Linked DNA regions of Elephas maximus indicus. The protein of the gene in region 1 interacts with the protein of each later gene in a pairwise test. Links are inferred from orthologs where the notes say so. Each region holds a gene or a part of one and is shown on either strand. Other genes may lie near its edges. The genes, in order: FHL3, PAK5, RHEBL1 and PIERCE1.

The links.
Region 2: the proteins of FHL3 (region 1) and PAK5 interact in a two-hybrid assay, tested with the Homo sapiens proteins (2 studies listed by BioGRID and IntAct). The two-hybrid records come from large-scale screens. The link is inferred for Elephas maximus indicus from reciprocal best matches to the Homo sapiens genes FHL3 and PAK5.
Region 3: the proteins of FHL3 (region 1) and RHEBL1 interact in binary tests that used the Homo sapiens proteins (3 or more experiments, as listed by UniProt). The two-hybrid records come from large-scale screens. The link is inferred for Elephas maximus indicus from reciprocal best matches to the Homo sapiens genes FHL3 and RHEBL1.
Region 4: the proteins of FHL3 (region 1) and PIERCE1 interact in binary tests that used the Homo sapiens proteins (3 or more experiments, as listed by UniProt). The two-hybrid records come from large-scale screens. The link is inferred for Elephas maximus indicus from reciprocal best matches to the Homo sapiens genes FHL3 and PIERCE1.

What each region holds. Positions count from the first base shown.
Region 1 is NC_064821.1:79,579,905-79,587,686, reverse strand, and holds the start of FHL3 (four and a half LIM domains protein 3), read left to right. Parts: upstream 1-4,773; 5' UTR 4,774-4,944; intron 4,945-7,782. UniProt on the Homo sapiens protein: Recruited by SOX15 to FOXK1 promoters where it acts as a transcriptional coactivator of FOXK1.
Region 2 is NC_064843.1:48,555,386-48,562,304, reverse strand, and holds the start of PAK5 (serine/threonine-protein kinase PAK 5), read left to right. Parts: upstream 1-3,915; 5' UTR 3,916-4,020; intron 4,021-6,919.
Region 3 is NC_064822.1:104,488,708-104,496,274, reverse strand, and holds the start of RHEBL1 (GTPase RhebL1), read left to right. Parts: upstream 1-4,547; 5' UTR 4,548-4,731; coding exon 4,732-4,783; intron 4,784-5,384; coding exon 5,385-5,456; intron 5,457-5,787; coding exon 5,788-5,855; intron 5,856-6,118; coding exon 6,119-6,201; intron 6,202-6,288; coding exon 6,289-6,345; intron 6,346-6,547; coding exon 6,548-6,595; intron 6,596-7,220; coding exon 7,221-7,302; intron 7,303-7,462; coding exon 7,463-7,552; 3' UTR 7,553-7,567.
Region 4 is NC_064827.1:3,242,528-3,249,745, forward strand, and holds the start of PIERCE1 (piercer of microtubule wall 1 protein), read left to right. Parts: upstream 1-4,211; 5' UTR 4,212-5,094; coding exon 5,095-5,237; intron 5,238-7,218. Other genes in the region: MRPS2 (28S ribosomal protein S2, mitochondrial), read right to left, coding at 1-134, 1,691-1,820, 3,003-3,128, 3,551-3,593. UniProt on the Homo sapiens protein: Microtubule inner protein involved in the attachment of outer dynein arms (ODAs) to dynein-decorated doublet microtubules (DMTs) in cilia axoneme, which is required for motile cilia beating.

The DNA.
Region 1 (7,782 bases):
GCCCTCTGCAACTGTTTTTCCCTCTGCCTGGAACTCCCTACCCTGATGCTCACTTGACTGGCTCTTCCTTGCCCCTCAGATCTCAGCTCAAATATCCTCTCCAAGGGGAGTTTTCCTATCACTGCATTTGCTATAGCAGCCCCCATCCCCAGCCTATCACATCACTCTATTTTATTTTCTTCAAAACACAGTCTGATATTTTTGCTTGTTTTCTTATTTATTTCTGCTTCACCCCGCAACCTCCAGTTCCACACATGTCCATGAATGTATGTAATCTCCATGAGATCAAGAATCATGTCTTATTTGCTGCTTGTATCCCCAGTGTCTAGAGCAAGTGCCTGGCACAGAGTAGGCACTACATTAATATTTGTAAATTAATAAATTGCCACCACCACCATCTCTGCCGCCACCCTGCAATCAACTCTGTGAGGGGATGTTTATACCATGAAACCTGTGAGGGCCAGAACTTGACGGGACTGCCTTGTTTTCCCAAGTCTCAAAAGTTTTCTGCCTTTCATATCCTGTGCAGAGGGGAGATGAGAGGGCAGAGGCAGTCAGAAGCTGGCTGAAAGGACAGAAAAGAGAGAGTGGAAGGAAGGAGTGTGCTGTCTCATGAGGGGGACAGCAATTAGGAGTATATAGCAAGGTGTATATAAATTTTTGTATGAGAGACTGACTTGGTTTGTAAAATTTCACTTAAAACATGATAAAAATTAAAAAAAAAGAAATGATCCTCAAAACTTTGAAAAAAAAATGTTTTCTGCCTTGTAACAGGTGCAGTCACCACTTTTCTATTGCACTCTATTTACTGAAAAATATTTGCGTTTTCCTTCTCTAACAGGTTTCCTCCTTACACAAGTTCCAGCTTTTGCAGGCTTTACTGTGTTATTATCCCCATTTCCCAGGCAACACAGAGACCCAGATTGCGCCATCCAGTAGAGCTTTCTGCCAGTGATGGAAATGTTCTATATCTGCACTTTCCAATATGGTAGCCAATAGGCATGTGTGGCTATTTAACACATGAAACATGGAATTGTGACTGAGGAGCTAATTTTTTTTATTTTAATTAAGTTTAATTTAAACAGCCACATGTAGTTAGTGGCTACTCCATTGGACAGCACAGTTTAGAAGGCTAGTCTAATGGAGAACACACGACTAGTTTGTGGAATAGCTAGAACTAGAACCATTGTGCCTCTGGTTCCCAGCATGGTGTCTAGTACATAATGGTGGTGGTGTTTGGTGCTGTAGAGTCAGCTCCAACTCATAGCAACCTTACATATAACAGAATGAAACGTTTCCTGGTCCTGTGCCATCCTCATGATAGTACGTATGTTTGAGCCCATTATTGCAGCCACTGTGTCAATCAATCTCATAAAGGGTCTTCCTCTTTTTTGCTGACCCTCTACTTTACCAAGCAGGATGTCTTTCTCCAGGGATTGGTCCCTCCTGAAAACATGTCCAAAGCAAGAGAGATGAACTCTCGCCACACTTGCTTCTAAGGAACATTCTGGCTGTACTTCCTCCATCTCTTTTACAAAAAGCCAAGAGTCAATAATGAGCCAGATTAAGAAGCTCACACATCAGGCCGAGTGACCAGGTGGCAGCCCAGCCACTCCTGCACTTCCTCCAAAAAAGGCATGCCCAGAAGGCAGTTTTGTGCCCTAGGGGAACCCTGAGTCAGCCCTGGATTTGAACTGCACATCGACCACCTGTGGGCTTATGATTTGGGGCCACAGTCTCAAACTCTTCTGAGCCTCATTTCCTAATCTATGAAATGGTGGTAATAATAATAACACATCGTATGGTTTTTATAAGGATTAAAGGAGGTAACGATAGCACTTAGCACAAGGTAGGCATTTAACCACATTAGGGCTCCCTGTACCATACTTCTCCCTTACCCCCATGCTCAGTAGAAGTCACTCATTTCACCATCTCCACCCACAGACCCATCGTCAGGCTTGGGGTCACGAGGACAGTGTTTTCTGGGCAATTTGCAAAAGGGTGTCGGCTAAGCCATGAGGCCTGCAGGGGCTCTAGGCTGCCTAGTACGTGTAAGAGTGAGCAATACACTCAGAGAAGGAAGGAAGTTTTCTCTCTGGGTGAAGGAGGACTTGTGGTTACAGGCATCAGAGAGTGATTCAGCACCCAGAGGAAACCATGAGAGGCCTGTCAGTCATCACCCAGGCCTCCTTTGAAAACCTTTCCAAGGTGGTAGAACAGCTGGGGACCCTGAGCAAGCCCCCTTCCACCATGAGACAAGGAAGGCTGTGTGGGACCTCCCAGATGTATAAAGGGACAACCAGATCTCACTCACCCCGAACCTGTCATGCAGCACTAGAAACTCTGCTTCCAGCCCTGGCTCAGACACACCTGTTCCCCAGAGAGTGGGGGAAGACAGATAGGGAACAGAGAGTCCATGTGGCTGATACCCAGGCCTTCATGCGGCACGTCCTCCTGGGCCAACCGAAATAGAGTGGGCAGGGAAATGTGAGCCCATCGGGGAGCTGGAAATGGAGAGGGAAAAAGACACAGTCCCCCTTCTCTAAGCCAGTCCCCCTCCCCCAGGAGATGTCCTAACCTTCTCTGGCCTCCAGGCTCCAAATCCAAGCAACAGAACCTTAACACTTGACCATGAAAGGGTATGTGGGTTTGAGGAGTGGGGGTAATTACCAAATATTGAAGACCTACTGTGTGCTCTCATCCAATACTCACAACAACACTATGTGATAGGGAGTCAACTATTCAACAAATGAAGAGACCAAGGCTTAAATGACTATAGAGGCTGTAGCGCCTAGTGGTTAAGCTTATTTTTGGCATAAGGGGCTTTGACATTTGATTGTCTGGATTTCAGTTTGAAGCTTTGCCATTATTAGTTGTGTCACTCTGCCTCCCTTTTCTCATCTTTAAAGTAAGGATAAAAATAATATTTCATCAATTTGTTGGATGATCAGGTGAGTTCCTACATGTCAAGTGCTTAGATAGGAACTGGTGCAAAGTAAGAATTCAGGAAACACTGGCTCGTATTATAATTAAGGCTATTAGGCAGAGATTCAAGCTATGAGAAAACAGCAGAGACCCAATACTCTGCCTTTAATCCAGAGCCTTCCTTACTTACTCATAACCACTTCATTTCTGCAAGCTTCTTACCTTCACCCTTCCCTCACCCCAGAGCAGACGTCCCTCTTGCCATCTACTCCAACTCAGTGACTCCCCAGGGCTGGGAGTCCCCTGCACCTGTGAGACCAGTCCCTAGACTCTGCGGACCTCAATGCCAGTGAAAGGGCCCACCCATAGGCTAGCTGCTCACTTCCTGGGCTCCGGATAGCAGGTGCCTATGGTCCAAACTAGGGGGTTGGAGTCAGATTGAAGCAGTGTCTTCATTCATTCATTCATCAGATATTTATTATGTGCCAGACATTGGAATAAATACTGAGAATGCAGTAGTAAACAAGATAGACCCAGTTTCTGCCCTCATGGAACTTGCAGTTTAGGCAGCAACAACAACAGTAATAATAAACAAGCAATTATTTAATTAAGAAAGGAAACCTGGCCCGAAGGGCAATTTAGCAATTTAGGAGTGGGAATCCAGGCAGGTGATGCAGAGATGGGAGAGGAGGGTCCTCCGGAGCCCCAGCATGGGAGGGAGTGGGTCCCTGCCCTGAGAGCTTGGCAGGACTCAGCCTGGGGAGGGGTTGGGGGGCCTCTGTGGGTACCTCAATCTCTAGATGCCCGAGGTTATTTCCAGGGTTGGTTTGTTGTCTCTTGTTTTGCAAACAGTACAGCAGAGCCTCCTTCCTCCCTCCCCCTTCCCTCCAGAGGGAGGCTATTTATTCCTAGTGACAAGCCTGAAGATCCCAGGGGGGGTGGCCTCAAGAACCTGGAGAGGCACCATGTCCCTGGCAGGTGCCAGCTCTCCCTCCCAGGCACAGGGAGGAAGCCAGAGGCTCAGAAACTGCAGAAAACGGGGGAGGGTTCCCTCCCCTCCATTATTTCTGCCACTCACATCCTCACACCCCTCCTAAAAAAAAAAAAAAAAAGCCCAAAGATCATGGGGCCAAGGATTAGGGTCTCCCCTGGGCATCAAAGGTCAAAACTATTTTTGGGCACTACGGAAATCAAGGCGGGATCTCACAGTGCCAGGTTTCAGCTGGGGTTGGGGAGGTAGTTACCTCTGTTTTTGCCGCTCAGGGTTGTGGAATAAGACTCTTCGAAGGTCAGGGCACTATAGGGAGGCCCTTTCTTCACCCCCTGTTTCCGGAGAACACCTGAGTTCCCACTGACCCAGCCGTGACAGCTGAATTGACTCCATCCCCTCCTCCAGGCTGGGTTAAGGCCTCCTACACACGCTCAAGCTGAGTGTGACCCCTGGGGAAAGCCGGTAGGGGGACACAAAGAGGGCATGAGGACTCTTTGGTCTCCTAGTAGACCCTGGTCTGCGGGGTCCACTGCCTCTTGTCCGGGGTTGAATACGGCAATCCCCCGCTTGCAGCTGGGGGCACAGAAGGGGAGACAGAGAGGACAGCAAAGGCTGCAGGGAGGGGGCAGGGGTGGGGTCCCTCCCTCCGGGAAGGTTGGGAGGGCCAGGTTAGGCTGGCCTGGGGGAGGGGGGTTGGGGCTGGCTCCAGTCTGAAAGGGAGGTGGGGGCGGGGCCTGGCCCCCAGCGGCCCGCTTGGGGGACCGGGGGCGGGGTCCGCACCCTGAGGGCAGGGGGGCCCGGGGGCGGGGGCCGGGCGGGGCGGGCTCCCGCGCTCACTTCCTCGGGGAGGGGTTGGGGCCAAGCTCCCACTCGCCCACACAGTCCGTCTCCAGCCGGCAGCCTCGCCGGCAGCTCGCTCGGCCGCCGCTCGGCCCGGCCCGCAGGTAGGAGCCGCCGAGAGACGCGACCCCCGGTTCCTGTCCCCACCCTCACGGGCGCTGCGCCCCGCTGCTGCCGCCTGCTTCGAGGTGAGCTCCCCGCCGACCCGGCTCTGAATCCCAGAGCCGGGTCCCCTCCCTCGGGCCGGGGAGCGGAGACAGCCCGCACAGGGTTAAGGACAGCTGCGGCTCCCGCCCCCTGCCCAGGTCCGGCCGGGGACACCGGGCACGCTGGGAGCCGGAGGCGCTGAGCACCGGAGCGCCGGCTGTCCCGACTGGACCGCTCCCGGCCGCCTGGCGGAGCGGGGGCTGCCTCGAGAGTGGGGCGGGGGAGGGGACGAAGTTTGAAATAGAAAAGCCAGAGAGACAGACTTCGGCCTGCAGAGACCGGGAGGGTCCGAGAAACAGGCTGGCAGAAACCTCGGTGGACCGAGACACCGGGACAGAGACAGGGACATGAGCGGTTGGCTTAGGCTCCGGGTCTGCGGAGACAGACGGGCTACAGACATAATGGAAACACGGACACAGACTTGGTGTACAGAGTCACCGAGAGACGGACCCGAGATATAGGGACAGATTAGGATTTTGTGGAGCATTTTAAGAAAAGACATTCATATGACCCCGTAAACACATTGCTAGGGCCTTTGAGTGCCCTGAACTTTATGTTTCTTTAGCTTCCTGGTAAGCCCGCCTCTGGATTCACTGTCTAGCTCAGAGGGTAGAGGTGGAGACACTGAGGCTTTCTAAAGACAGACTGTGAGACCAAGATTTGAGTGTACAGAGGCAGAGATCCAGAGAGGTGGTGGCCACCACTGGGAGATAGCTAGTCAAAGACAGACACCCAAAAACATAAGGAAAGCTGCTGAAGTGTGCTGAGACAGAGAAATTATGAGCAGAGCAGAGCCAGAACTCCAGAGACTGAGATTTAATGGGAGCAGAGAGACAGGCGAGCTGACAGCTTCCAAGATAGACCCAGAGACCCAGGCCAGGAAAGATGGGGAAGCCAGGATGTGGGGAAGCAGAAGCTGAGCCAGCTGAGCCCCCCGAGGCCCAGGACCTGAGACAGTGAGATTGAGATGAAGAAGCAGCCCCACGAATACACACAGCCACCAAGGCAGCCCCAACTTATTTTTAAACTCAAGTCTTGGATGCATTGCTTCAGCCCTGGGGGACCTAGGGTGAATGAACTCTTCCTCCCCTGTCCCCAGAGCAGCTGCCAGATCCTGTGCCCCATCCCTCTTTGCCTAAGCTTCTCTGACTTCCAGGTCCCTTGGGGGAACTGAAGGGGGAAAGGAGTTTGGGATTGGTGCCTGGTAGTGGGGAGTGGGGGAGTTTGGTTTCACCCCTTAAGACTCCTGTCAACTCCTGGGAGCTGGGGGAGGTGTCTGTCCTGATCCTGACTCACAGCTGTGGGGCCCTCCTGGACAGTTGGGGGCTGGAGGGTTTGAGTGGTTGGCATGGGTAATTGGAAAGGCTTCTGGGTGTCTTCCAATCGCAGAGCTGGCAGCTGGGGGGTAAAAGGGGAGAAGAGCCAAGCTCCAGTCCTGGTGATATTACCCAGCATCTCCTGTTTCCCTGCCCTCAAATACTGACCAGCCCCTCCACCACCACCAAACCCCTTTCAAAGGATTTCCAGGGAGAGAAGCGGGAATGGGCTCCAGGCTGGGTGGCAGAGACCTGGGCTTTCTGACTACCTGAGTGATCTTGGGCATGGCCCTGCCCTGGCATTCTTATGCTCAGCTGGAGAGTGATGCCTGTCTTTTGAGGCCTGATGAGGTAGTGGGTGTGAATGCTCTTTGGGAGGGCAAAGCTGCATGCTGGTGCGCACACACCTGTGCCTCTGGGATAGGTTGCAGGCAGAGATAGGCTTGCTGGAGCAGGGTGGCTGGGCCAGAGCCACCACTAGCCCTCCTAGTCTCCTCAGCCAGCCCCATGGGCCTCAGGGCCTCTTCTATTCCCCAGCTACACTGAGAAAGTACAGTTCCCTTACCTATGTCTTAGTTATCTAGTGCCTCTATAACAGAAATATAACACAAATGGGTGGCTTTAACAAACGAATTTATTTTCTGGAAGTTTAGGAGGCTAGAAGTCCTAATTCAAGGCGCCAGCTCTAGTAGGAGACTTTCCGTTGGCTCTGGGGGAGGGTCCTAGTCTCTTCTGAGCTTGTGCTCCTGAGCAATCTTCACATGGCTTGGCACCTCTCTTCCCCCATCTCTGCTTCTAACTTATGTTTAATCTCTTTTATATCTCAAAAGAGATTGACTCAAGATACACCCTACACTAATCCCGCCTCATTAACATAAGACAACCCATTCCCCAATGGGATTATAACCATAGGCATAGAGGTTAGGATTTACAACATGTATTTTTGGGGGTCATAATTCAATCTATAACACCAGGCCTGGCTGAGAAACTGCCATCTGACCCCACTATGAAAAATGGACTAATAATAAAAAGACCAACAGCCAACATTTACTGAGTGTTTACTATCTGCCAGGAAACCCTGGTGGCATAGTGCTTAAGTGCTTTGGCTGCTAACCAAGAAGTCAGCAGTTCGAATCCACCAGGCGCCCCCTGGAAACCATGGGTCACTTCTACTCTGTCCTATAGGGTCACTATGAGTCAGAATCGACTCGATGGCAGCGGGTTTGGTTTTTTTTGTTTACTATCTACCAGGTACTTTACAAGTATCACCCCATTTAAACCTTACAACAACCCTAGGAGGTAGAGAGTTATAATTACCTCATTTTATTAGATGGGAAAATAGGCTCAGGGAGCTTAAGTGACTTGCCCAAGGTCACCCAGCTTAGTAAGTGAAGGGAGCCAGGATTCAAACCCAGATTTAAGATTTTGCTCCACACACCAAGTCTGTTATCCAGCCATTCTGAGCTCTAGGAGGTTTGCTAGGAAGTGCCAGCTGTGTGTCTA
Region 2 (6,919 bases), on another chromosome or scaffold:
GTATTTTTGTTATAGCAGCACTAGATGACCAAGACAGATGTATATCCTATAAGCTTTTTGTTTATGTTAGTTGAAATCTTCTTTTCCAACTCCTGTTCTTCTTCTAACCCAATAATCTAGCAAATGCCCAGTTCTTTTCTGGAATCCATGCTGGTTCCATTATTATTGTGACTGACCTTTGAAGGATGCCAGCTATTTGCTTCTGCTGCAAAAGACCTCTTTAAAGTGTTGAAAAGCAAAGATGTCACCTTGAAGACTCAGGTGCACCTGATCCAAGCCATGGTGTTTTCAATCACCTCATATGCATGCAAAAGTTGGACAAGGAATAAGGCAAATTGAGGAAGAATTGATGCCTTCGAATTGTAGTGTTGGCAAAGAATATTGAATATGCCATGAACCGCAAAAGGATTGAACAAATCTGTCTTGGAAGAAATACAACCAGAATGGTCCTTGGAAGCAAGGATGGTGAGACTATGTCTCACATACTTTGGACATGTTATCAGGAGAGATCAGTCCCTGGAGAAGGACGTCATGCTTGGTAGAGTAGAGGGCCAACGAAAAAGAGAAAAAGCCTCAAGATGGATTGACACAGTGGCTCCATCAACGGGCTTAAGCATAACAATGATTGTGAGGATGGCGCAGGACTGGGCAGTGTTTTGCTCAGTTGTACATAGGGTCGCTATGAATTGGAACTGACTAGATTGCACCTAACAGTACAACAACAAGCTATCTGCTGATTAACAGCATGGGGGAGAGTAAATAGTAGGGAGAGTAAGCTGAACCTTGATTCCAGTGTGTTGTCTTAAACATCTTCCTCAACTCATCTACTAAGTTTACTACCGCTGAGGTACATTTTTCCACAGGTTTTTTATAAGATTGGTTGAGGTCAGTTTTTCATGAAATATTGACCAATGGGTAGGTCTGTTTTATTGAAAAACATGTTCTTCTAGGTCAATCTAATATTTAATATCCCAAAGCTTTCAGATTTTAACTATAGATTTTGATAGCAGAGAAAAGACTTCTTGAATAGCAGAAAATGAATATATGCCTGCTCAATAGATTATAATTCTTCACATAAGAAAAAAGAATGTATATACCTAGACAACTAAATAATCAGATAAAATACTTCCAACTTCTGATTACAGGTTATTGCCCAACCTTTAAATCCCTGAGCTGGCTAGAAAAGCCATTACTTATTTAAAAATTTACACTTTTTGAAATTTTCTGGCAAATCAGTTGAGTTCCACTGCCTCAGCTTCAGGGAGCTGCCTCATCTGAAGTTCAAGCCCCTTCCAGGGGCAGCCCATACGCAATGATTCACAAGGCGATACAAAGACCAGACCATCTCAGCCCATCTTGGGGGAACTCTGAGGGCCACTCTCACTCCAGAACTCCCTGTGAGGTTGGCCAAGCCTGTCATCGGCCTGTGTCACAGCTTGACTTCTCCCTGTGCCCACTCTTGCTTCCACCATCTCTCAGCCATAGGTGTTGGGCCCAAGGGCACTCCTTAATCAACAGCCTGCATGCTAAACTCTGTCTCAGAGCCAGCATCATGCGGAAGCCAGCCTGCAAAAGTGAGGAAAGTAAGAAAGAACGCTCACTAATTTCTCGGGTTCACACAGCGAGTTGAAAAGACAGAATCACAAGTTAAGTTCCTAAATTTTCTGCCCTACTTAGATACTTTGCTGTATGACTTCTCTAAGTTCCACTTATTTATCAAGAAAAGACATTATATAAAAAGAAATCCCTTGGCACTTAATGCAATAAAGTATTTACAGAAATATTATTAGTATTAATTTATAATTTTTACCTGGCAAACTTTCAAAATGAATTTGAGGCAGCTAACAATAATCATAGTATTTATCTAGTAGAAATAACCACATGAACACAAGCGTTATATATAATAGGAGAGATATTTTAAATGATCAAAGCACTGTATTTCAAAGCATAATTTTAATTGATACCACCAAGCCAACAAATAAATAACTCTGTGAATATGTTTTCTTTTGCATCTGTGCTCACTCACATACAAAAAAATCAAAATAGAAAATATTTATGCAAATAATGGTGCAGGTGGCAGTGGGGGTGGTAGGTGGGTAGTTAGGGCTATGTGTGCAGCTTAGAGAATTAAAGAGATGGGTTTGGAGACTCCTATTCCTCTGATTGGTACACCATGAGTGTACGATATGCCATGATATATTTCCCCACCATACACAGGAGTACTGAGGAAGAAAAGTCATCAACCATTTAGCCCACAATTCCTGTTCTGATACAGAAGCTGCTGCATGAGGGTTTTAAGTGAACAGAAGACAAACAAGGGGAAATGATAACTATTCCACCACTAACGAGAAAACAGTCTATGGTTATTGAGTATAATAGAGTACTGATAGATACAAACCCTCATTTTGTAATCTGCTATCTATTCAGTTATGGGCTCCCATGATACCATATGCACTAGCTCATAAGTGTATTGTTGAGGCAGCTGAGGACAGAAGAGGGTATGACTTGTTTACTCTTAGTATTTGTTCTCCAAGGTTGAAAATTCATGCCTGGCTTCCTCATGTCTTTCTCTCACTGTCGTGTGGGCAGGGAATACTCTTGACGATGCTGGAGCCTTTGGGAGCTGGGAGGGGAATGGGTAACTGGAGGATTTAAGTAGAACCACAAGATACGTTAGAAGCTTTAGCCCAAGCATCACTCAAGAGAAAAGCCTGTCATCTCTTGGCACAAAAATTGCCCTCCTTTTATCAGAATCTGTCAGTTCTTTTTAGTCAGGTAAAAACCGAAAAAAAAAAAAAAAAAACCTACTGCCACTGAGTCAATTCTGACTCATTGCTACCTTATACGACAGAGTAGAACTGACCCATAGGATTTCCAAGGAGCAGCTGGTGGATTTGAACTGCCGACTTTTGGGGTAGCAGCTGTAGTCCTTAACCACTGCATCACCAGGGCTTCCCAGCCCTATCATTACATGTACAATAAATTGACACTTTGAAGCCCAGACTGGGGAACAAGCAAGGCACACTGGTTCACACTTAGTGGAGCAGTTCAGTGGTGGCTAACGAGCAAAGTTGGCAGCAAGAGGCCCAGACCTCATTTTCTAAACCAGATAGTAGCCAGTTAGGGCTGGGACATCAGAGCTCGGTATTAGAGGGCACAGCAACCCCAGGTGCTACTACATTTGTGGAGTTACCAAGTCATCTGTAGGTAGAAGGGGCCTATGTGGGGCCAGAGACCATTTCTGGGACAGCTGATTGAGGGACAGCCACTCACAAGCCACCCATGAGGAGTTGTCCGGGTCGTTTCTACCCAGTGTGGAGGATCAGCACCACTTGGAAGCTTCTTTGACATGTGGGATCTCAGGCCCCTCTCCAGAACCGAATCAGAATCTACATTTCACTCACAGGCACAGTAAAGTTTGAGAAGTGCCGGTCCAGGTGGTCCCCACTGCTAGCAGCTGATCAGCCTTTCGGCTCCGCCCTTCCTCCCCCCCTCCCCCTTGCTGGCTTTTTAAGCGAAGCTCAGCCCGGCCTTGTCCTGCACGCGCAACAGTTCGGCAAACCCGGAGGGTGTGGGGAGGGCGCGCACGAGCTGCCCCCGCGGAGAGGCCAGAGGGAAAAGCGTGACCGGCTAAGGGCTGCGTGCCCCGCACTCTGCTGTAGGGCGAGCCGACACTCCCCCGACCCACCCCTTCTCCACGGCCTGCGCCGCTCCAGCTCGCCTCCCCGGCTGTCACGAAAACCCGGAGTCGTGGCGCGTGCTCCTGCCACGTCCTCCTAGGGGCGAAGCCCGGCAGCCGGACATGCTCAGTAGCGGGAGGAGCTTTGGGTGGAGAGTAGAAAGCTGTGGCTCTACCTCCCACCCCCTCCCTCTGGCCCCCGCCCCCCTTGCCCCTGCTCAGCTTGTAGTAGTTCCCCAGCGTGCGCCCGGGGAGACCGGGAACATGGCGCTCGGAGCGATGTAGCGGCTGAGGAGAAGAAAGGGATGAGCCACCGCGCTTCGTTGACAGCCAGCCACCAGGTAGGCAGGCGCGCCTGGCGGGGTTGCCTGGGTGGACATCCGCACGGGGAGGGGCGCTTGTGGGGATGCGCGCGGCTGGGACCCGGGGCATCTTGCTTTGCCGGGAGAGGATGCGAAGAGGACATCAGTGACAGCGCGCGATTGTGCATCTCCTAGGAGATGCCCAAGGCTGGGGACCGGCTGCTTAGAAGGAAGGGATCCAAGGACTATCCCCCCACCCCCCATGCGCTACCATTCAGCTTGGGATCCCTATGGGTCAAATAAAGGGTAGTTCCTTTCTGTTGGGCGAGAGGGCGTGGGGAAGAAACCTAGATAGCAGCCCGGGGAGCGCGCTGGTACCCCGGACCTCTAGCAAGCCCAGCACCGGTTCTTTTGTGTATACAGCCGCGCACGCCCGGGGGTGCCACGATGCCTGTTTCTCCCGAGTAGTGTTGGACATATTGCCAGGGCAGGATTCCGGTATGATTTTTGTCTCTTGGCAGGTGTGGACTGGAAGAACCAATAGCTGAGCCTTTATAGGGCTGTGTTTTCCTTTGTTACTTGCCTCGGTATGTGTGTGTGCGCGTGGTGGGTTGTAATGGAGAGAACCAACTTCTGCTTGTGGGCACGGGTGTGGGCAGAGTGTGGAAGAGGATCTCGGTTCCAAACTCTTGTCAAAATTGTGAGCGGTTTTGGCTTCCTGGAGGGTAAACTTGAAAAGTCCAGGGACCATCAGTGCCCAGTTTGGGTTTGGAGGACAAGCCTGATCACCTCTCTTGAAACGTGTTTAGCTGGAGCTTTAAACATAGGACATGAGTTAATGCCTCAACATTACATATCAGTAAAGGACATTGAAAGTATTGGTGCTATCTTTTTTTTTTTTTTTTTTATGATGGACGTTTCAAGGCCAGGGCAATAAAGAGAAAGAGAAGTTGGCATAAAGCCAGAGAGAAGTGTCATTGTTAATAGTTGATGACAGCTTGCAAGACTGAATACAGTTTGGGGGGGTGGGGAATCAGGAAACCTGGCATTCAGCTAAGATGCTACCAGGAAATAGTCGTAGGGTCCTAGGGAACTTAGAGAACCTCTCTGCACCTTCTTTTCTCTTCTCTGTTTTGGTGGCATGAGGGTACACCCTCTTTCCTGAGTCTAGAAGGACAAGATGCTCTTTAAAGGCTCCTTCTAAATTAGAATTCTATGAAACCAGTCCCTAACTACAACCTTACATTTGCATATCCCATTCAGGGAATTGACATGATCCTGTAAGTTCTCTCCTACATTTGTATGTATTCAACATTTTAATTTTTTTCTTTATGATATAAAGGATGGACATCTGTGAATATGAAGTTTAGAGACACTTCTACACTGACACTATTCATTTTTCTGGTCTCCTTAGGTGGCAAAAATGAGCCAGTATCATCAAAATAAAATGGGAAATGCTTGAGAAAAATGCATTTAAGTAAATCCTTGACTTGGAATACGTATGTACCAAGCAGAAGCATTGCTAATGGAAGCAATAGAAGTTGATGGCAAGTTCATTGATACCATTGGTCTTAGAATAAAATTTTTGTGTTCCTCTGTGAATGGATAGAGATTGATTGATTGATTGCAACTCATTACTTTGGTGATGAGTGTGAATTTTCATTGCACGCATTGAAAACACCAACACTACTGGTACTAGAAATGGGTGTTCTAGGATATGGTATCATCTCGATGAGACAAAGCTGAGTTTGAACTCTAGCTCCTCCACACTTATCTCTGTGATCTTGGGTAAGCTATTTAGCTTTCGCAAGCCTCAGTTCCCTCATCTGTAAAACAAACCTGGAAGTAGGAAGAGTAATACCTAAATAGGTAAGTGTGAAGATTACTTATAGTATTAACCGCCAGGGAAATAGTGATGACCATTATAAGGGGAAGGGAAATGGATGTTTATTGAACCTATACTATGTGCCCCATATTATGTTAAACCCGAAAAACCCAAACCCATTGCTGTCGAGTTGATTCCAACTCATAGTGACCCTATGGGGCAGAGTAGAACTGCCGACCTTTTGGTTAGCAGCCAAACGCTGACCCGTTGTGACACCAGGGCTCCCATATTATGCTAGTCAGGTTCAAACATGTGATTGCATTTAATCTTCCCAAAATCCCTATGAACCATTTTAATGACAATGTTAATATTATGTCAGCCTAAAAGAAGAAGGTAAAGTAAAGTAGATAAGGTCAAAAAAGACCTTAAAAATAATTTAATACAACTAACCTGTTTGAGGGTTTATGTACCCTTCCGTGGTGAAGGGAAGAACAGAGCTTAGAGGTACCTCACTTACACAGATTCACTTATCTGGAAACCCAGACAATCCAGGATTCAGATCTTATCTATAATGTACTGTCCCAAACTGATTTCTTGATATGGTTTTCCTCCCTTTTGCTACCCCACCAACACAATGCAAAACAAATGAGCAAAAATCCAAAGAAAACAACCAAAATGACAACAGCAACAAAAATATCCCAAACTTAACACCTTTCTAGTTTTTCTTATCCTTGTAAATGGCACTATCGTCCATGGAGTTGCTTCAGCCAGAAGCCCGAGGATCATCTTTGACACCTCCATTCCCTTTATTTCACATCCAAAACCATCACACGGTCTTATAAATTTTGTTTTCTAAATATATCTCAATGGAGCCTCCATTCCATCTCTACCACCAACACCATCAAACTCCAAGTCATCATCTCTCACTTGGGCTACTAATATAACTTCCTAAGAAGACCTCCTGGTTTCTTGATCCTTCTAGTTTCTCATCCACAAAAGGCAGTATCATGTGAATTCCCTGCATACAACACATCCATACAGCTGGGACGGATTACAGAGACTCCTGAAGTCTTGGGTACGGGGCCAGCCTCATCTTCAACATGTCTTCCTCCC
Region 3 (7,567 bases), on another chromosome or scaffold:
GCATTTTGCCTTCTCAGGCTTTAAGGTCCAGCTCAATTGAAACCTTCTATGATTCTTCCAGATGGAATTAACTGTTTTTCCCTCTATGCTTCTAGCTTCTTACACTGTGATGTGAGATTTAATATAATTTGCCTTAAACCTTTACTTGAAGAATTTTTCATTATGTGAGAGGTATATCATTCAAAGTCCTTGTAGGAAACAGACGGCACACTCAAATGGGGTATTGAGGAAAATATAACGAAAAGACTGTTTATAAAGGGGTGAATGAGGTAAAGGGGTACCAAGAGTGATGGAGCATTCTCCATCTGGCATCAGTGGGGAGACATTACTACCATAGGTCTGAAGGGTCAAGGGGAAGGGGTTACAAGAACCCAGAGAAAGCTGTAACTGTAGTTGTATAACAGGGTTGTGGCCTCTGATAGATGAATGTAACCACTGCCAAAATGTAGCCCAACAAGAAGCGAATAGGAGAATAAAGACTCTGACCGTCTCTCCTCTACCCTACAGTCTCTGGCCAGTGCCTCCCATTAGCTAAATACAACTGGAGGTCAGAGGGCACTCATCCAATCTATAAAGTTCGGCTTCCCAGAGCATAGAACAGGGTTGAGAAGGCTGAAGAGAGGATCTGCAGAAGCAAACCAAAGATGCCAAGCTAGTAAGAACCATAACGCTAAAGTTTGGGTCTTTAGTGAAAGGCCTCCAGGTCAGGAAGGAAAGTGACAGAGAGCATCTGAAAGCAATTTATTAGCTAATCTAAATCTAAGAAACATAGCATGTCTACGTCTTATCTTAACTCTATATCTGCATATGCTAAAAAAATGTTGATAGCAAAGCGAGATGATTATCCATTTTCCTAATTAGAAGACCCAAAATAAAAGGAGCTGTTTGGTCAACTTTTTTTTTTTTTATTATGCTTTAAGTGAAAGTTTACAAATCAGTCTCTTATACAAAAATTTACATACACCTTGCTATACACTCCTAATTGCTCTCCCTCTGATGAGATAGCACAGTACTCCCCCCACCCCCGCCCCGTGTAGATTCGGGTAGCTTCTGGACACCTCTGCCCTCTCATCTCCCCTCCAGACAGGAGATGCCAACATAGTCTCATTGTCGACTTGATCCAAGAAGCTTGTCCTTCACCAGTTTGAGCCAACTTTTAGGAATTAAACAGTCAAATGTATACTTATAACATTACATATAAACTAAGTTACATATAACTACTAACCCATTGCAGTTGAGTTGATTCCAACTCATAGAGACCCTATAGGACAGAGTAGAACTTCACCATAGGGTTTCCAAGGCTGTAATCTTTACAGAAGCAGACTGCCACATCTTTCTTCTGCAGAGTGGCTGATGGATTCGAACCGCCAACCTTTCAGTTAGCAGATGAGTGATTAACCACTGTGTCACTAAGGCTCCCCTAGTTACATATACATACTTAAAAGCACATATCCTATAAAATAATAGATTGATTTTGCTGTTTTTCCATTTCAAGAATAATTTTATTCAAGCTCTTTATATTCATTTTCAATATCAGTGTTTTTATGATCACCAGAACTTCTCTTGAAACTTAAATGTGATGATGGAGGTGAAATTAACTTGAGACCATGAGGTGATAAGCATGAGGAAAAGGTCAAGAGAACTGCAGATGCCAGATCTGACATTATACAGACTCATGGCACTTACCTCCAGTTTTGCTACCTGAGAAAAATAAATCCCTGTTTAAGCGATTGTTACTTGAGTTTTCTGTTATCGCAGCCAAATACATTCTTAACATTCAAGTGACTACAACAATAAGCTGAATATCAGAAAATTCAGGTTAATGTAGGTTGGGTGCTCAACATCAAGTTTCCAGCAACAGATGTCGTAGATGGTCTCATTGTCTACCACGAAGATACTTCAGAAGAAAGGCCCAGCAGTTTGTTTCTGAAAACTTAGCCATTGAAAACCTTATGGAGCACAATACTACTGACACATACGGGGTCCCCATGAGTCAAAATTGACTTGACGGCAACTGGCACAAATGTCATCTTCTCAGACTTTCTAAGATCTCATATAAAAAAGAGGAGTATCATACCCCAAGTTACTTTCTAGCCCATTAATATCCTGTTGTGTTTTTTAAATTTCATTGTGTTGTTGTGTTGCTGTTAGGTGCTGTCAAGCTGGCTCCTACACACAACAGAACAAAACACTGCTTTGTCCCGGGCCATCCTCACAATCTTTGATATGCTTAAACCCATTGTTACCAACACTGTGTCAACCCATCTCATTGAGGGTCTTCCTCTTTTTCACTGACCCTCTACTTTACCAAGCATGATGTCCTTCTCTAGGGACTGATCCCTCCTGATAACGTGACAAAGTGTATGAGATGCAGTCTTTCCATCCTTGCTTCTAAGGAGCATTCTGGTTGTACTTCTTCCAAGACAGATTAGTTTGTTCTTTTGGCAGTTTCACTGCAGTTATTACTTTTTTTTTTTTTTTTGGTAACTTATGTATTGTTTGCTTGTAGATTGTTGGTCTTCACCTGAAAGAATACTTGTTTCTTGAGAGCAAAGACCTTGTCTGTGTTGCTCATTGTTCTGTTCCCAGAACCCAGAAAGGTGCCTGGGACATGGTATTTGTTCAATAAATATTGGTGATGAATGAACCAACAGACCCAACTATCAACCTTAGGGTTGTTGCCAGTATTAAATGAGATAATGCATGAAATATACCAAGCACATTGGCTGGCACATAGTCGTTGTTGTTAGATGCTGTCGAGAGTAGAACTGCCCCATGGGGTTTCCAAGGAGCAGCCGGTGGATTTGAACTGCCAACCTTTTGGTTAGCAGCTGAGCACTTAACCATGACACCACCAGGGCTCCTGGCACATAATAGAACTCTTCCCTTCCCTAATCTCCTATACCAAATTCTTTAGCAAGTCAGCTTGACTTCAGCTTCAAACATGTCCTGAATCTCCACTTAATTTCATCTCCACTACCACTATAGCCAAGCCACCAGCATAACTATCTAGACTACAAACAACAGTCTCCTAGTTGATCTCCCTACCTCTAATCCATTCTCCATAGCCAGGGAGACCTTTCAGAAACACGTATCAGATTACGTCATGCCCCTGCATGAACATCTTCAACAGCTTCCTCCTGTTGCCATCAAGTAGATTCTATTCTGACTCATAGTGACCCTCCAGGACAGAGTAGAACTGCCCCATAGGATTTCCAAGGCTGTAATCTTTAAGGAAGCAGACTGCCATATCTTTCTCCTGCAGAGCAGCTGGTGAATCCGAACCACGAACCTTTTGGTTAGCAGCCAAACAAGAGTTTAACCACTGCACCACTAGGGCTTCTCAACAGCTTCGTAACAACAACAACAAAAAAAACCCAGTGCTGTTGAGTCAATTCCAACTCATAGCGACCCTATAGGACAGAGTAGAACTGCTCCATAGAGTTTCCAAGGAGCGCCTAGTGGATTCGAACCGCCTACCCTTTGCTTAGCCGCGTAGCACTTAACCACTACGCCCCCAGGGTTTCCCGACAACTTCCTAGGTACTTAGAATTAACCCAAATTCTTTCACCTGACCTGACCTCTGTCTTCCTCTCAGACTTACCTGATTTAGGCTCACTGGCTTTTTGCCCCCATTCCTGGGATTTACCAAATTTATTTCTACTTTATGATCGTAGCATTGGTGAATTCTTCTGTTGGAATCTACTACTAGTTGGCTCCTTACTGCCATTCAGATCTCAGTTTAAATGGGACTTCCTCTTTTCCTCTGAGAGGAGGTATCACTAATCTAAAGTGGTCATTTCTTATCACCTCTTTTATAGCACTGAAGACTATCTGATATCTCCTTGTTTATATGTTTGACTTCCCCCACTGGGTTTTAATGTTCATGAGAACAGTAACCTCTTCAGTCTTGTTCAGTGCTCTGTTCCCAAAGCCTGGAGCATAAAATAGAGCTCAATAAATATGTTGAATAAATGAATGTATTGAGGATTAAGATGATGATGACGACGATACCTCATACGACTTGGCCACAAATTCTAGCAATTTTTCTAAGAACAAGAATTGCCATTCAGAGGTTAGATTCTGGAAGACTGGGGAAATCTGACGACTGTCACAAAAAGGTCTGGGGCTGAAGGCTGGGGGAAGAGAAGGGAATATATTTAAATGTTGGCCTTCTTTCCCCATCCAAAGACCCCAGTGGCCTTGTAAAAGGGAGGACTAGAGTCATTTGACCAGAAACTCCAGCTCAGACACAGCGGGCATTTCCCATTCGTGGTTCTTCACAGCCACTCCGCTAGTTGCAATTGCGCAAACATCTCTAGGACCCCGGGTTCCTTTCTGTTTCTTTATGAATGAGCCGGCTCCAGTCTGCGCACGCGCAGCTCCCAGCTCTCCCGCTCCACGTGAGACCCACCCTTCCCTCCTGCTCGCGACCCCGCCCTTATTCTTTCTAATAGACCAATGGGGAACAACCTGGGGGGCGGAGCTCGGAGCGGCGCGGCAGTGTAGTTCCCTCGGCGCCGGGCTCCCTCGGTTTAGTCGTGCAGTGTTGTGATCACGTGGCCGGCTCCGGGCGCGGCGCTTGTTTTGGTTTCCCTATAGCTTGGCCCTGGCAGCTTCTGGGTGAGCGACTTTCTTGCACGGTTGCCACGCCCGCTTACACCCTGAGCTCCTCTTCTTCGGGCTTTCTCAGCCTGCAGTTCTCCAAGCCCCTTGGGGCGGGCTCCTGCCATGCCGCTGGTCCGCTACAGGAAGGTGGTCATCCTCGGATACCGTTCTGTAGGTGAGTCTCCGCCTTGGGGAGAGCACGGACGCACCGCGGCTTTGTGGCCAAAGGGGGCGCTCTGTCGCGGGAGCCCGACCCAAGGAGGAACGGAGACATCGTGCGAACGTTAGTGTAGAGCAAGGATTGAAAGGGTGGAAGAGGAAGGGCTGGGTGGGATGGGGTGGGGACCGCTGCAGGGACCAGGGGCACGCAACGGTTAATGTAGGATTGGCTACAGGAACAGTAGAGTGATTCCCTCGGCTACGTTGGGGGTGGGAGTAGGGTCAGGATTTGGTGCAGGGAGCACGGTCTGCGTAGGGCTGGTGGTCGCAGGTGCCCAGGATCGGGGCGGACTAGACGCTAGGGAATCCCGAATCTCCTGGGGGAAGGGAAGGCTGCGGGAAAGCCTTCCTGCGGCGCCACTGGTTGTAGTGTAGCTGATGTACAGAGACCCTGGGTGAAAAGAGAGTGGCAGTAGGCAAGGGGAAGGCATTCTTGGAGCACTCACAGGCTGGGGTGCTAATTGGGGGTCCCTGTTAGTCCAGGGCCAAAGACTGAAAGGTCGGAGGGTGTGAATGTGAATGGGGGATTTGGATACAATTACCACTGCTCCCCACAGGGAAGACATCTTTGGCACATCAATTTGTGGAAGGCGAGTTCTTGGAAGGCTATGATCCTACAGTGGAGAATAGTGAGTAGAATTCTCTGTTAGTGTGACAGGGCTAGGGCTCCACCCAACTCCATAATGTGGAATTTCTCTGGTGCCAAGGGTCTTATTTAATTAGACATTAAATCCTTTTCACACAATCCTGTTCTGTGAGTGGAGCTAGAGTTTGGATCTTGCAAGATACTGTGTCCAGGGTGGTGTAGTTGTAGACAATAAGAACCCTAGCATTGTCTTTCCAGTTTCCTGGAGAGCTCCCTGGACCTGGTCCATCCATTGTTACCCCCAGGGTTAAGATTGTATGGGGGCACATGTTGCTAGCCCTACAAGGCCCCTCATGGTCGATTTTTCTTTTCAGCTTACAGCAAGATAGTGACTCTTGGCAAAGATGAGTTTCACCTACACCTGGTGGACACTGCAGGGCAGGTACTAGTTGGGGTAGGGTAGCCGAACGTGGCAGTTCAGCCTTGGGAGGTGAAGTTTTGTAGCCTCTGAGGCTTATTTGAGAAGTAGTATTAAAAGTAAAGCATTTTAGCAGCTAGCAGTGTGCAGGGCTCATTGGAGCTACATTATAAATATTTGTTGAACAGAAGTAACTGGAGTAGGGAGGGTCCCTGGGGTGGAGTCCCACCAACCTTTGCCACCTGAATGGTGTAGATCTAGGTATTGATGTTTCTATTTCTTATCAGGATGAGTACAGCATTCTGCCCTATTCATTCATCATTGGGGTCCATGGTTACGTGCTTGTATATTCTGTTACCTCTCAGCATAGGTAAGTGAGAAAGGCTGTGAGTGGGGGACTTGTAGGACCTGGGTCTGTCCCAGATTTAAGGTTACAGCTTTATATCTGTGTTTGAAGCTTCCAAGTCATTGAGAGTCTGTACCAAAAGCTACATGAAGGCCATGGGAAAACCAGGTAAGTGGCCCTGGGGGACAGAAACATCCTGTGGACAAGAGGGGGTGGAGGACAGCAGAGGGGAGAATGGTCCAGTTAGGGAGGACACGAGTACTGCCTGGGCTGATGGGGAGTTGTTCAGCCCTGATGTGACTGACGTGAGGGAGGTTAGGGTCCATGAGGAATGGAAGGGGATCTTATAGTGACTGCTGTTTCCCTACAGGCTGCCGGTGGTGCTAGTTGGGAACAAGGCAGATCTCTCTCCAGCTAGGTATGTGAATCTCTGCTGCTCAGGATGAAGGAAAGTGAGCTGGGCCAGGAATCACCCAGGCCCTATTCCTGCCGCTGCCACAAGTTTTGGCAAATCATTTCATCTCTGTTTCTAACTTGAGGGTTAAGATGAAGTACCCTTCTATCTCAAAAGCCATAATTTCCCATAGGGTACCAAAATAACACTGAATGAATGAGGAGTAAGGAATAGGAACGAAGTGGGTGGAAAGTATTAGCCCTGCTTCGTCATAAAAAAGACCACAACTATCACTGCTTGGAAAAGGAGAAAATAAAGAATGGAATTAGTCGTGAGCTCTCCCCCGACACAGAGAAAAACAGAGAAGTCAACAACAAAAGATTTCTCAATTTATTTGTGTATATACATCATCACCCCAGGGAGCCAGCTCCACTTCAGGAGTTCCCAGCTCCCCTTACCCAGCCAATATCCTACAAGCCTTTGTCCCACATTCACTCCTCACTCCTTTGTTTATATCTTCTTTCTTAATCCTCCTCCCAAACCTTGGGAAAGTGGGGTAGGTCAGAGGAGGTCTAGATTCTAAAGATGTTGCAAACAACATGGGGGGACATTGCCATCTTCCATCTTCATGTCCTGAATTTGTTTCCAGGGAGGTCCAAGCAGTTGAAGGGAAGAAGCTGGCAGAGTCCTGGGGCGCGACATTTATGGAGTCATCTGCTCGAGAAAATCAGGTACTTGACCTGGCCATTAGCAAGGTAGAGGGAGTAGTACTGTTTTTCTCATGGCACTTCTTAGTGGTGGGGATGGTGGGGAAGTGGGGTGTTCACCTCAGACCTGGGTAGTGTTGGCATGAACTAACTAACCTTTGCCTTGAATCTCTATCCTTTGCAGCTGACTCAAGGCATCTTCACCAAAGTCATTCAGGAGATTGCCCGTGTGGAGAATTCCTATGGGCAAGAGCGTCACTGCCGACTCATGTGAGCCTTTGGGCATGGG
Region 4 (7,218 bases), on another chromosome or scaffold:
CAAACAAGATGATCCCTTTGCGATAGGCCACGTGCGCCATGAAATTCAAGGCCAGCTGGAGGTGTGCGGCTGTCTGCTCCAGATCAATGATGTCCTGGCCCAGGCGGTTCCCAAAGATGTATGGCTCCATGAACCTGTCCAGGAGACCCAAGCAAGGTGAGGGCGAACAGGGCTCCCGAGGCTAAGACCACCAGCCCCTCCCTCATGACAGCCCTCCACAGCAGGCCCAAGGCTCCTCAGCAGGGGTCACACCACCCCCATGAGCACAGACAGCAGCGACCACCCCATCCAGCGAGTGACTGCAGGGCAGGTTGGGGGCTGGGCTTGAAGGGCTGCAGGCCACTTAGGAGCCTCAAGCAGTGGCTGAAACCTTCTGACCCTCTGCTTCTTTCCCAGGACATGGGGATTCTAACAACTGCTGGATGTCTAAACACAGTGTCATAAAGTATCCTCCCCGGTGTTGGTCACACAGCAGCCATTTGTCGTTATCATGGTCTCCAAGGCTTTACAGACAAGATCCCTCTGGGACTGAGGGACCAACAGAGCAGGGGAGGGGCTCCAGGCTGAAAGCATGGCAGGGTCGGGGCAGGCACCAGGCAAGTCAGGGTGGCGGACCCCAAGGGCATAGAACCACTGGCTGCCCTGGGCAGAGGGTCAGTGGGGCAGAGGGACTGCACTGCCCCACTTCTCAGCGTGTGGCAAATGAGCCGTCCACACCAGTGGTCCATGTAGCCTCCCCTCCAGTCCACTCTTCAGCTCACTCCTGCTTGGGTTTTGTTTTCTCAACTGACACCACTCACCAAGCACCCAATGACCCTCCTTACCAGATCCCTGGTCCCTTCCTGCCTGCAGGCCTTCTCAGCAGCGCTAAGCAGTCCCCACGTCCCTCCCCCCGCCCCGTTCTCATCCCTCCTCATACTCTTGCCGTGCCTTCTCAGTTTCACCTGCTGCTCCTCCTCCTCTTCGCAGCCCTTAGAGGGCCCGGGGCTCATTCTTGGGGGGACCTCCTCTCCATTCTGCCCTCCCTCTCTAGATGACCCCCAGCGCCCCGCCTCTACACAAGGGACTGCACTCCCACGTCTCTCCCAGGCTGGGGCTTGTCCCTCCATGGGCCTGCCTGACATCTCCCTGGGATGGCCCAAGGCCGTGACTTCCCCACGAGGTCTCCCAGCTGCTCCTCCACTCCGCTGATGACATGGTAGTCAGAAGAGCTGCACAGACACCTCTGATGGTTATCACTCCTCCACGTGACCCAGCATGTTCCCACTGCTCCTCCTACAGCCTAGAAAGCCCCACCTGATCTGACCTCACCAACCCCTCCCCGGCCTAGGCCTCCTGGCCCTTCTGTCTCTGACCCTGCCAGGCCTTTTGTTTACTGCCAGCTCTGTCCCTGCTTCAGGCAGGGGGCCACAGGCCAAGGCCCTGAGCGGTCAGAAGTATGAGCAAAGCCGTATGATAAATCAGTGCCCAACCCGAAGCTTGGTTCCCACTGAGAGGATGGCGGGGCTGGACCTAACAGTGGTGAGGACAGAGTGGACACCGAAACCTTCGTTCAGTTAAACAGAATGACTCACGACAGTACAAAATGTGCCCCTGAACCCCCAGGGAGGAAGGGACAAGGCCTGCTGGGACCAATCGCTGATACACACACCTAAGCTGACATCCCACTCAGCTAGGGGTTTTACCCTACCTGTGGCGACAGCCGGCTTTGTGTCCCAGGTGCACGCGGGCATTAAAAAGGCTTGTAACAGAAAACAATTCCTTGACATTGAAGAAGTCGGAGTGCTTGAGGGGCTCATTTATAATTTCGTCATTGAAATCTACAGCAAAGCACAAGAGAGAAAGGAACATGACTCTTAATGCAGGTTGCAGAGTGTGGCACTGGCCCACCCGGTCCCATCTGCCTGCGAACAGAGGAGACGTGGCTGGGTGGGTGAGAGAAACCATCAGTTGAAAACACCCAAAACCAGGCGATCTGGAAGCTGCAGATTTTTACTCCCAACAAGCTCAGGCCCTCTGTTACAGCTGAAAATTCCTAACCTCGTAATCTCAGGATACTAGAAACTGGAGCTGGGTTCTGATCACGACTTCACTCTTGGGTAAATCTGTCACTGCCCAACCCTCAGTTTCTAAAGTCCTTCTAGCACCTTCAGGCATGCAGTCTCAGGTGCCAGAAGACAGCAGTTGGGGCTGACGCCCATTGGGAGTCTAACAAAGTGCACTCAGTCCTTCCGGAGCCTGATGGTCACCAGACCCGTCAGGAGAGGGGACCCTGAGGAGGCTCGGGTGTTCTGACTCGGAGCTCTATGTCTCGGTGGTTGTTGTTGGTGGGTACTATCATGTTGATTCTGACTCATAATGACCCAACGTGACACAATAAAACTGCTCCATATGGTTTTCCCGGCTGTAGTCTTTACAGGCTGAGAAGGCCTGCAAGCAGGGAAGGACCGGGGATCTGGTAAGGAGGGGGCACTGGGGCGCTCGGTGAGGTGTCGGCTGAGGCACAGATCGCCAGGTCTCTCTCCAGCGGCGCTGCTGAGTAGGTTTGAACTGCCAATCTTTCACTTAACCAGTCACACCGCCAGGGCTCCTTCCCGCTCTGGAAAGGAGGTGCTATGTCAGCTCTTTGCCCAGGTGACCAGAGCGGAGCTGAGCTGCAGTGAGCTACGGATGGACCCCAGCTGCAGCTCAGGAGTGGTGGAGCCAGGGTTGGGACTTGAGGCTGGGTGACCCTAAGGCCCTGCTTTAACCATGTAGTTTGTCGGGAATTGCTGGGCTCGGTTTGGGCAGTGGGGACAAAGCAGCCAGTCAGAGCTGGAAATGATGACAGACTGAGGCACTGACCAGGCAGGCGGCCCTTTCCCCCACCCCTCCTTGGTCCAGGCAACCCCAGGGCTTTACACCTAAACCCAGAGGCACACAGGACTCCAAGCGGCAGATAACTAAGGCCTGACTGACTTCCCACTGCATGTCCCCCTATCTGCTAAGCAGCCCAGGGTTACCGCTACGGTCCTCGAGCTTGCTGACAGTAGAGGCCGGGGCGCTTCCAAACGTCCTGTTGCTCAGCTGAGACGCTTCTGGGGTCGCCTTCCTGAGGAAATCCAGCCACAGCGACTTGGGCCAGGCACCTGGGGGAGGAGGCAGAGTCCAGACGCTGAGAAAGGCGGCCGAGGCTCTGTCAGGCGCTCCGCTCCAGCTGCGGGCTGTCGGCAGTCTGTCCGTCCTTGCAGAGCCGGCGGACGACAGTTCGCCGCCTCCCCCCGCGGCCTGCCCTCCGGCCCGACGCAGCCTGACGCACGCGGGCCGCCCTGCAGGCCCTGGGTCCTGGTCCGCTGCGGGTGCGGTCCCTCCGACCCCAGCGCAGCGCTGGACCCAGGGCCACTGCAGCGGAGCCCCGCGCGGGCCAGGGCTGCGCGCCGTCGGGTATCTCAGCGCCCGCTCGGGGCCGGTTCCCGCCGCGGCTCCAAGACCCACGCCCCCACCCAGGACCCTGCGCCCCGCCCCAAACACCTCCCCGCGGGCCCTTGGAGCGGCGGGCATGCACGCTCACCGGCGCCAAGCAGCCGAGGAAGCGCGGCCCTGACGGGCGCCATGGCGCGGGCAGACGCGGAGCCAAGCCGGACGACCGGACTTCCGGCATGTGGTCCCGGACTTCCGGCGGGCGGCTTCCTCTTCCGCCGCGGCCACGCAGGCCGCACCGCCCCCTGCAGGCCGGGAGGTGGCACTGCACGCCCGCGCCCGGGCCCAGGGCTCTGAAGACTTCTCCGGCCGTGGCTCCTGGTTCCCGGCACCCGCCGCAGTGCTGGGCCCCAGAGCCTCGTCGCGGCCCGGAGGGAGGGAGGGCGCGGGCCGGGCCGGGGGGCACAGGTCGGGGGGCGGGGGCCGCGGGGCGGGGTCAGATCCTGGGGCGGGGCGGTGGGAGGGACACAGGTCAGGGGGCGGGACCGCGGGGCGGGGACCCCGGGGCTTGGGTCAGGGTCCCGGGCGGGGCCGGTTGGGGTGCACAGGGCGGGGGGCGGGGACGGCGGGCGGAGTCAGGGTCCCGGACGGGGCGGGGGGACCCCCGGCCAGGGTGCGGGGACCGCGGGGAGGAGGGCCGAGCGCGCGGGTTAGAGGGCGGGGGGCGCAGGCAAGGTCCGGATGGGGCCGCCGGTCGCCGGGGTAGTGGGTCCTCCCACCACTGTCCCGGGAAGGGCGGCAGGAGCGGCCTCTGGCCCCCTCGCTGCAGAAGTGCGAGGCAAACCCCAGAAGACTGAGAGCCGTCACTCGCGGGAACCTCCCTGGGGGATGAGGACCCTCCTAGCCTCCCGCCAGGAGATTTCTTCCCCAAGGCCAATACAACCTTTCTCACCGAGACCATTTATTATTTCTGAACACTTATATTATATATTCGTTGCCGTGGAGTCAATTCCGACTCATAGCGACCCTATAGGACAGGGTAGAACTGCCCCATAGAGTTTCCAAGGATCGCCTGGTGGATTTGAACTGCTGACCTTTTGATTAGCAGTCGCAGCACTTAACCACTAGGCCATCAGGTCTGAACACTCTGCACTCCATAAATTTATCCAAATGTCGAATTTAAATTTAGACTCAGGGTATTGGGCACATGAAGTTACCGGTCAAGATGCACCCCGGCGCATACAGTAAGCGTCAAATCATTGATTGACACGTGGCCTTGGGGTAACGGTAACCCCCTCAATTTGCTGATGAAGCCCCCAGGACCTCGGGTTTCATTTGCCCCCAAATCCGACCCCAAGGCTCCATATCCTGCGCGCCTTCCACTGCGTTTTGGAAAAATCCTCGGTTGGGTCGCGCGCCTTTTCGCCTGATGACTAATAGTGACACGCTCCGCAGCCCCGAGTCCCAGCAGGAACAGGCTCAAGCCCTTTGTTGTTCGCAGGAAGGTTCTAGACCTCGCATTTATCCCAAGTCCCAGCAGAAGCCCTGGCCTGCGTGGCTCGGCGCCTTTAAGAACCGGGCCCTCCCCGGTCAGGTGACCAGGCCGTCGCTAAGCAACAGGACGCCACGCCGACAGTCGCGGCTTTGCTGCCGAGCGTGCTTCCGCCCTTCTCGTTGCTGCGGTGGCCAGAGACAATGTCCCAGGAAGACCCCAAAGAGTGGGCAGAACCCGCCGAGCACAAGGCCAAGTCTCCCCCGGAGAAAACCAGCGACTATTACCGAGTGAGCGAGGACCTACCGGCCAGGTTCAACAACCCGGGGTGGTTTCGGGGCTACAGGTGAGGAAGAAGGTGCGAGGTGAGGGGAGCTGGATCTCCCCTAGGGTCCACCTGGCGGACACAGGAAGGAGAGGCCCCCGGGTCCAACATGGGGGGGGGTGGTGAGCAAGGCGCCACCAGCTGCTCTTTCTCCCAGCGCTCAGATAGTCCTCTATGCAGGGGTCCTCCAGCCCCCCCAGCCTCTCCTGGCATCTGAAGGCAAGAGCAGTAGCGTGGCCAGCAGCATGGCTCGTGCTGTCCTGGACTGCCAATGGCTGTGAACGTGCTGCCTAAAATTTGCAAACCTACACATGGGGTTGGTGGGTGCAGGCCAGGGCAGTGGGGTGGAAGGGGCCCCAGGGGAGACCAGAAAGCCCAGGCCTGGTCCCAATGCCACCGCGCTGTGCCCTGGGGCAAGTCTCCCCTCCTCTCTAGCCTCCGAGGCCTCCTCTGCAAAACCTCCATCCCGGGGCTGTTGGCAGAACCCACCACCCGTAAGCTATTAAAGTGCTCTGAACGCCGTGATGAGTGATAGGTGGCCGCTGTGGAGTCACCCTGCACTCAGGGCGGCCTCGGTACCACAGAACAAAAACTTGCCTGGTCCTGCATCATCCTCACAAGCTTGGCACGTTGCAGCCCATTGCTGCAGCTTTTATGCCAGTCTGTCTCACCAGGGTCTCCCTTACCCCGGTGGCCCTCTCCTTCAGCAAACGCAGTGTCCCGCTCTAGCAGTTGACCTCCCCGATGACATGTCCAAAGCCAGCGAGTTGGACCGTGTTCTGTGTGATTCATAGGTTTTCATGGGCTGGTTTTCTATAGTAGATTGCTAGCCTTTTTCTCTCTAACGAATGTTGTTGTTGTTGTTGTTAGGTGCCGTTGAGTCGGTTCCGACTCATAGCGACCCTGTGCACAACAGAACAAAACACTGCCCAGTCCTGAGCCATCCTTACAGTCATTGTTATGCTTCAGCTCATTGTTGCAGCCACTGTATCAGTCCACCTCATTGAGGGTCTTCCTCTTTTCCGCTGACCCTGTACTCTGCCAAGCATGATGTCCTTCTCCAGGGACTGACCCCTCCTGGCAACATGTCCAAAGTATGTAAGACGCAGTCTCGCCATCCTTGCTTCTAAGGACCATTCTGGTTGTACTTCTTCTAAGACAGATTTGTTCGTTCTTTTGGCTGTTCAGGTATATTGAGTATTTTTCAGCAACATGACAATTCAAAGGCGTCAGTTCTTCTTCGGTCTTCCTTATTCATTGTCCAGCTTTCATATGCATATGATGCGATTGAAAATACCATGGCTTGGGTCAGGCGCACCTTAGTCTTCAACGTGACATCTTTGCTCTTCAACACTTTAAGGAGGTCTTTGCAGCAGGTTTACCCAATGCAATGGATCTTTTGGTTTCTTGACTACTGCTTCCATGGCTGTTGATTGTGGATCCAGAGATATCGTTGTTGATGTCAGCTGGATCCTGGCTGAAAGCAGAGAATACCAGGAGGATGTTTACCTGTGTTTTATTGACTATGCAAAAGCATTCGACTGTGTGGATCATAACAAATTATGGATAACATTGCGAAAAATGGGACAATGAATGATAGCAGATATCTATTACTGTGGGGCCCTGTGCTCAGCTCCTTGCTGCCCTCCACCACCTAATCCCCTCAACAGTCCTATACAGCAAGGTCTACTATTGTCTCTGAGATGTAGAAAGGCACTAACTTGTCCAAGACCCTGTAGTTAGCATGCGGCTGCGCTCTCTGAATGCAGAGTCTGGCAGGTAAACAGCTCTGCTGGCAGGGACCGTGGATACTGCACATTTCAGGCAGGCTTCTTCTTGATCTGCACTGGTGGAAGCATGGCCTCCGCCAGCTGGGACTCAAGCCCAAGGACCCCCGGGTGGCAGGCTGGAGGCTGGCAATGCCAAGGCCCCATCAGCCGGAGCCCCGTGATCCCCAGGAGGGGGCTCGTGGAGGCTCAGCCAGCTGGCGCTGGGGGTTGGA